Nothobranchius furzeri: one gene and its partner. The protein of the gene in region 1 purifies or fractionates together with the protein of each later gene. This does not show direct contact. Links are inferred from orthologs where the notes say so. Each region holds a gene or a part of one and is shown on either strand. Other genes may lie near its edges.

Region 1 (4,133 bases):
GAATTTTTGGTTTTACTTAAATAGTTTAAAATGTTTTGTCGACATTTTAGAGATGTTCCACAAAGTTTATGAACATGATGTCATCACATGACAGCGCCGAGAGAAGAAATGGCAGCTCGCGTACCAGCTGACCGGGAGTCTTAAAAAAACCACAACTTCTGGTGAACTCTTATGAGGTCATTTGTGCAAACAAAAGAGGACAGCGAAAGCCGCCCGCCCCGTCGGCACGGCAGAGCAGCGAGCCGTAGCTGAAGAGGCAGATTTCTGTCTGCAGCCGTCATTAAAAGGCACGACTACAGGCCTTTCTGGTGGAAATAAGCAGCCAGCCTTCCCCAGATGTCACGACTAGCCCAAAGGTAACCGGCCGTCTGCCACAAGCGAGTTTTCAGCAGTTGGGGGCTGAAGCCGAAAAAGGTAAACGTGCAGGTTTTACAGGTGAAAAATCTTTTTATAAGCTTGTTTTTTTATTAAAGTTGTTAATATTAGGTGTGTTATGTTGTTAGTGTTTGTTATTGAGTTTCTGAACGGTGAAGGTCCAAACCAACAGTTTGAAGGCTTACGTCATCATTTTTAAATTAGTCCCAGTAATACCGCACACCGTGGTAAAATGTGGAGGAAGCTAGGTGGGATTAAAATGTGAGCACCGCCCACGTCTAGATGTTATCAGTGACATTTTACCATACGGCTGACCAGGACCTCTACATATCAGCATCAGCAAAAGAAAAACCAATTTGTCAATCTCTAATCAGCAACCACTCCATTCAGAGGCTGCACCAAATCCTCTGGGTTGGACCAGAACAGCAGAAATGTGGTCAACTGGATCAGAACTCTGGAGTATTGTTTCAAGAGCTGGGGTCTAAGAGCTCTGGTCCAAAGAGGAAAAGGAACATCCAGGCTGTCAGCATCAGGACCAAAAGCCCGTTCCTGGTTCAGAAACAAAATAAGACCCGCGAGTCTTTATCATCAGAAGTTAAAGAGGATGGCTACTGATGAAGAGCCTGTTGGAAAAGGTAGGTTTTAAGCTTGCGCTTGAACAAAGATAACTCAAAAGTCAAACTCAGGTCATCAGGGAGTTTGTTCCAGACTGCTGGAGTCACGACTGAAAAAGAGCGGTCACCCCAGTGCTTGTATCGAGGTCGAGGGACTGAGTTAGTGGACCGTGTTAGCTGACGTAAGGACAAGGAGTCAGAGAGATAGGCAGGACCGAGGCCATGGATGCTCGTGAACATTATGAATTTGAATTGTGTTCTGAAAAATACAGGAAGCCAGTGCAGTTCTAAGCGAATGGGAGTAATATGGCTGCCCCAAGGTGTGTTAGTGAGGAGACGGGCTGCGGTATTTTGGGCTAGCTGCAGACGAGCGATGGAGGACTTGGATAGGGCATTGCAGTAACCGATGTGCGAGCTTATAAGGGCATGACTGACTTTTTCCAGGTCCTAAGTTGATAAAAACTTGACTTGACCGCCGCATTGATCTGTTTGTCGAAATTCATGTGTTCATCGAAGATGACACTGAGGTTTCAAACATGTTGCTTACGTCTAATGGCCTGCTGATCGAGGTCAGTAGAGACCTGATGGTGTAAAAAAAAATCCACATTCTAGAAAAGTGCTGATCCAGATTCAGGACCACAGGTCTGGATCTGGATGCTGGGAGGCACTAAAACCACATCTGGACTGACTGTTGCTGCTGCCCCCACCTGCACATCCAGCCCTCATAAATCCCCACCCCTATTACCTGTTGTGTGACTACAGCATCCCAGTCGTTGCTATGGTTACCTGAAGCCTTTGGGAAGCGGGTCAGACTTTGACCTGACCGTTGTGGTGAAAACAGTGTAGTACTGGTGTTGTACCGCTACAGCGGCGTTTCCTTTATGATTACACTTTTGTTAATCACGACACTGCTGACACGGTGGGGTCTCTTTATGGAGTTAAATGTTGTGTAAAAGCCTTCAAACCCTCCAGAACCCTCCCGTTTAGCCTCGTTAGCATCCCCGTTAGCCTGTTAGCTCCCTACCTGCTCCACCGTGGCCGGGTCCATGAACTGCAACCGGGCGGCGTTCTCGTACTCGTCCTCGCTGTTGTTCCCTGCTCCTTCCTCCGTATCCTGACTGGACCCTACACCTCCGGGTCCGGTCACCCCCGGCTGGCCTCCCCCGGCCAGAGCAGCGACCACCCCACCGGAGCAGGTTCCTGCCTGCCGCCGCCTCTTGCTCAGCCCGGGCCCGGAGCAGCAACCGCCTATCGACCCGCCGCATCCAACGACACCGGCAGGCACAACAAGCTCCCCGCGGGAGCCGGTAACCATTCCACCGCTACCGTCTCTGCCATCTCCCGGCCCTACCGGGGACACGGAGCCAACGGGCGGCGGAGAGGCCTGCTGCGGCCGGGAGCTCGCCTCGATGCTCCGCCTGTCCTCTCTGGCGGAGGGGGGAGCAGTCTGGTAAGACCACGGCGGAGGGGAGGCTCTGGGTCGGGCTCCGGTCCGCCCAGCGTGCGGGTGTGGGTGTTGGTGAGGGTCGGAGCTGCTCCGACGGTCGCTGTCATCGGCGTGGTCCGAGACGCCGACACCAGAGCTGGGCTTCTTCTTGGGGAGGATCGTCATGGTGGAGCAGGGAGGCGGTCAGAGGGTGACGAGTCCCCGTTCTGGATAAAACTAGTCGGTCTATTCACCTTCTGAACGAGCGGTTCGGCTCCAGTCACCGAGTTAAGACCCTTAACGGACCGAAACCGACCAAAGAAACAACAATTCTGTTTACATTCGACGGTGGAGTTGAACAAAAACAAAAAGCGTCTCCCTCTTCCCGTTCTCCAAAACATCAACACAGCCTGACTGGGCGCTGTGACGTAACATCCGGCCGGCAGCGTCATGACGTAAACCTGACCTTTAACACACAGAATCACTATTTTTATTATTAATCATTTATTCTATAAAACTCTACAAAACATTTTTGTTTTAATTCTTATCGCTTTTCAGCTTTTTGTGTAAAATTACGAAACAAACAAAACAAAAAAACAATAAAAACTGATGCTGCGAATCATTTAAAGAGCAACTCACCCCCCAAATAAACTTTTGCTTAGTCAACCCCTACCAGAGTCTAACTCCACTCTCACTTCATGTTTGAAAAATGCAACAAATGCTGTTGCCTGGCAGACCGAGAAGGCGGAGCTGCTAACAAATACACACACACACACAGGCTCACGACAGCATTGTGACATCATAATGTACCAGTTTACATCATAGCATACCTCTTCGCCAATAGCGGTGGCAGATTTAAATTGAAATACAGTGCAGAGTTTTTACCTGACAACGGCACAACACTGCCAGTTTTAGGCAGAATATTTAAATTTTAACTAAGATGCACTAAAGTGCCAAATTATTGACGACACGTGTCTGCAGCACGATTAGACACTCGTTTATTTAGTTTATCAGCAAAAAAAAAGTTTATTTGGGGGGGTGACTTGCTCTTTAAGCAACAACAGAATGCTGTTATTTACACTTGATTAAAAGTCATTTGTTTTGCTCTTTGTGATGATTTTTCTTTCAGTGATAAGTAGGGCCAGCAGTAGCTCAAGAGGTTGGGTTGGTTGTCCAGTAATCAGAAGGTTGCAGGTCCGATCCCGGCTCCCACCAGAGAATCCTGCTGTTGTGTCCTTGGGCAAGAAAATTACCCCCCACCCCCCCCAACCCCACCCCGCCCGCCCCCTGGTGGCGGTCGGAAGGACCGGTGACACCTGGGTTTGGCAGCCTCGCCTCCGTCAGTGTGCCCCAGGGCAGCTGTGGCTATGTTGTAGCTCATCACCACCAGTGTGTGAACGGATGAATGATACACTGACACTGAAAGGCGCTATAAAAGTGCAGTTCAAGTCAAAGTTTTGAATGAGAAAATAATCACCCCCTCTGAAGGACTACAATCGTATTGCTCTGTGAATAACGCCAGCTGTTGCTGGAGCTGACATCAGACGGACCATGGGTGGCAATCCACATTTAAAAGATTTCAGGGAAAGAGTTGTGGACAGACTACGGAAAATTTCAATCTCAAGGAGCAGCACAGTAAAGTCTCCAATAAAGAAGGGGACAGTGTTTGGTGCAACTGGGACCCTCCCTTGTTCTGTGTGGAAGTGCAAGGAGGAAAC
Region 2 (3,983 bases), on another chromosome or scaffold:
CTGGATGTGCATAAACACTACCGGGTGATGCCTCTGTTGGTTGCCATGATGAGAACAGGAGAAAGGTCACTCTCCAAGGCCCGGTTCAGGAAGGAAAAGCACTCCATGTCCAGCATATGGACCTCATCGATAAACAACACCTGGAAAAAACAACAAACAAAATGATTTGTTATGTAGTTTAAGCAGGTAGAAACCCCAAACTTCAAAAATCTGCACACACTAAAACTTACTCCGGGAATAATCTCTGCCTTGCCTTCTTCCCTCCACTCGCACACTTTGGCATTTATCTGCTCCCGGACCTCGGACTTGATCTCTCCGGTGTCTCCGGAGAAGAGAGCCAGGAAGCCCTGGGTGCGGCTGTTGATGACATCGATCTCATGGAGGGACACCGTATGTACCACCTCCTTTCTCTTCTGCAGCTCTCCCTCCGGACATTGGACAAACTGGGTCTACAAAAGACAAAACAAAGAAAATAATCCAGCAATCAGTCAACCTGCATCCTCAATCTGAATACAGTGGCATCACACCTGAGCGCCCATGGCGTCGTAGTCTCGGGCTCTGGTGAAGGAGCGACCCAACTTGCTGATTTTCCCAGTGGCTTTATCAATTGTAATAACATCTCTGTAAAAACAGAGTAAATAGATTTGTTCTAACGTCGCTCCAGCAGAGAAAAACGAGACTAGAGAGTCTTGTTGTGCGAACAGAACCTACCCAGCTTGAACCTTCTCCTTACTGAGACTGTCAATCATCTTGTTGCCCAGGTCATAGATAGTCTCCATCTCTGTCGTCTTTAGAGTCAGCTTGCCTACTTTTGCACCCTGACGGAAAGAAAATATAATTTTTATTAAACAGGACTCTTCAAAGAGAATAACATCAATGTATTTAAGCTAACAGAAAGTGGGAGACAATAAATTCTGAGACTACTAGCTAACATTAGAGAAAGTATCCCACCGTTCCGGTGGCCGGTCTATCAATCTGGATTTCCACAACCTCTCCTTCAATAATCTCCGTCTCCTCTCTGTAAATACGGAAAAAACAGTCAAAGGCAAATCATTTCATACAAAAATAATTAAATAATGCTGTATCTGTGACCGCTGTCTCACTTGATCCTCACTCCAATGGCTTTTCTAAAAGCTTGGCTCAGTGCCTCGGTCTTGCTCATTTCCAGGGAGAAGATCTCGCTACCAGCCAGAGCTGTGAAGGGCGTGTCTGAGCCGAGAGACTGTGCGATGCCTATAAGACAAGCTCATCAGGAACAGGATGCAGGAACTCTTGATTCAAAACAAAATGCAACTTGAAACATTTACATCCATGGACAGCTTCCAACTCGGCTCTCACCCATTGCAATGGCAGTCTTTCCCGTGCCAGGTTGGCCAGCGATCAGGACCGCCCTGCCAGCAATGTGGCCGTCTTTGATCATCTCCAAGATGACCCCTGCTGCCCGACGGGAAGCCAGCTGTCCAACCATCCCCTGAGAAACCTGCAGGTGAAGAGGATCAAGTCTCCTTCAGACAAAACCTCACACACATTAATGCTGGAAAATTAACTAAACCTAAAAGAACAACACTGCTCAATATTCTAAAGTGTTGGTAGATAATATAAGAGAAAATGTCTGAAGTGATGTGATGTTGAGGTTACACAGGCTATCTACTGTATTTTCAGTTTAACCAGTTCTAGCAAAGTATATGCATTAGTAGTAACCAAACAACACATTTTACAAACAGCTTTTTTCTTTTAAAAGACTTAACAGAGTTTCTTTAGAGAGCATGAACAGGAAGTCCACAGCAAATGAATCAGAGACAAGAGTACCTGTCTTGGCTCCAAAGCATCATCCAGGCCAAGGCCCCGAATGTGAGAATGGGCCCCTGAACGCAAAAAGGTGGATTTGAAGGAAAAATAAAGAGCACACACAACTAGCAGCATCATACACCCTTATGATAAATTAGCTTTTTGATTAGTTAACGGTTCAAGACGTCCACACCTACCAATTCTTTCAATCCGTGTGATATCACGAACCTCTGGAACCTTTGTAGCCGCCATCTGCATCAGGTGAAACACAACAAGAAAAACTTGTAATATTAAGTAGATTGTTTTACGTTTCTGAATAATTAAGCAATGCAACTTCTACTGACCAGTTATTTGTCTGTATCTCACATTATGACTCAAAATAAGTCAAATTATTAAAAACAATAGTTAATGTGTAAACCTGATCATACTAAAACGGTAAAGATCAGATCCAAAACTTGATTTGGCAATGAGACACACCTTTTAGTAAATAATGTACCACAATAAAACGATATTTATGTTGTTTGCTAGATCAGAAAACGTCTGAGAGGTCTGTTCTGTCCAGCTGGTTGTCATAGTGACAGTTATAACCCATGCGCTACAATACATTAGCTAGCGTAATACAAAGTTTCGATCACTTTCCAAATATTAATGTCATACGTGAAAGCAAGAAAACTTTTAACTGCCACCACATTAGTTATGTAACATACCGAAACATGTGCGGCTACATTGCCAGCGTTAAAACAGGAATAGAATAGCATTCCGTGGCTAATGTTGTGTTAGCAAACAGCTAGCTTCATTCATCGCTTTATTTAAAGCTAACATTCAAAACAAGCAGAATGGGGACGTCAAACACTCCAACATCATAAGACTTTCTTCAAATTACACAGACAACAGCAATCGGGCAGCATAAACTGTAATATGTTTGAATTTTATATTATTTTATAATAAGCGTGTTCACTCACCTGCACCACTACACTCACCGAAACGTGAGAACGAGGCGCTCCTTTCTGAAAGTGCACCGAGCAAATGCGTCCGACTAGAAACAAGTAGTTTTTTTTTCACAGGGGCACATGGGGGAGCGTTGTTACCATCGGTTGTTACTGAATTGTTTTTGACCAAGAAGACAAAACTAACGAGGTAAATACGTTTCATTACACGATTCTTATAAAGGTACATAAAATGCTAATTCAAAATTTTATAAATGTTAACTCGTTCAATGAATGTTTGTAGAACTGGGTCCGTGCATTTCGTGTTTTCGTCATTTAAATGTTCTCATTGGAAACCAGTAGAAACAAAAGAATCGCTTTTTTCTTAAATTTCAAATACAAAATAATAAGCCATTGCTAAAAAAGGATGAGCACAACTATTAAAACATATTCTATTCACATTTGAAATAGCAAAAATATTTTTAGTTACAAATTTCCAAGTTGCTTTGAGTAAAAAGTCTTCTTACCAGTGAGGGGTCCTTTAAAATCTAAAACACTATAAAAAATTATAAAGAGGTAATCCAGGTAGAAGACATTTGTGTGCTGGTGCATTTAACAAGAATGAAAGCAAAAAATAAAAATAAAGGGACATTTTCTTGTGACTTTCTTTTTTATATACTTTCAAATGGAATTGTCCTGTTGTGAATTGATGACATGACAACAATTGCAATCTACTGAGCTTTCTCTTAAAATAATCTAAACAAATAAGCAATGAGAATAAGAATGCATCAAGCACAAAACACATTAAAATACTATAATTTTGAAAATAAGTCATTTTAAACCAAGGCATTTGGAACAAATACGTGAGGGACGTTATTTCTCAAATACACACGTACCATTCAAATTATCTTGTGACTATTATGTAAGTTTAAATGTAATAAGTTTTTTATTTCAAGTTTTGAAGGGTTAATCAGATATATTTTTGTTCTATATTAAAAAGAAACACATCCACATGGCATAGGAAGGCCAACATTGTCTGATGGAAAACGCCATAATAAAGCTCTAAAAGCTTTTCTCCACCAGAGGTAGCAAAGCTCATAATTTAAAGCTGTGGAATTTTTGTTCATGTGAACTTGCAGTGATCAATGCAAAGGAATATCAATCAAAATATCTGATAAGATAAGTTGGCTGGCACTCCATCCTTAAGTTTTCTTCTGACAAGTTAGATTTCGTGTTTTTATACCTTTAGAAATGCAAAAAAAAAGGGTG

Evidence for each region.
Region 2: the proteins of otud5a (region 1) and ruvbl2 purify together in Homo sapiens (affinity purification with mass spectrometry, with the first as the bait; 3 studies listed by BioGRID). This does not show direct contact. The link is inferred for Nothobranchius furzeri from reciprocal best matches to the Homo sapiens genes OTUD5 and RUVBL2.

What each region holds. Positions count from the first base shown.
Region 1 is NC_091755.1:47,032,975-47,037,107, reverse strand, and holds the start of otud5a (OTU domain-containing protein 5-A), read right to left. Parts: upstream 2,827-4,133; 5' UTR 2,602-2,826; coding exon 2,014-2,601; intron 1-2,013. UniProt on the Homo sapiens protein: Deubiquitinating enzyme that functions as a negative regulator of the innate immune system. Has peptidase activity towards 'Lys-48'- and 'Lys-63'-linked polyubiquitin chains. Can also cleave 'Lys-11'-linked ubiquitin chains (in vitro).
Region 2 is NC_091750.1:65,678,108-65,682,090, reverse strand, and holds the start of ruvbl2 (ruvB-like 2), read right to left. Parts: upstream 2,823-3,983; 5' UTR 2,751-2,822; intron 2,041-2,750; coding exon 1,986-2,040; intron 1,866-1,985; coding exon 1,810-1,865; intron 1,481-1,809; coding exon 1,339-1,480; intron 1,234-1,338; coding exon 1,104-1,233; intron 1,019-1,103; coding exon 952-1,018; intron 819-951; coding exon 712-818; intron 622-711; coding exon 528-621; intron 450-527; coding exon 231-449; intron 141-230; coding exon 22-140; intron 1-21. UniProt on the Homo sapiens protein: Possesses single-stranded DNA-stimulated ATPase and ATP-dependent DNA helicase (5' to 3') activity; hexamerization is thought to be critical for ATP hydrolysis and adjacent subunits in the ring-like structure contribute to the ATPase activity.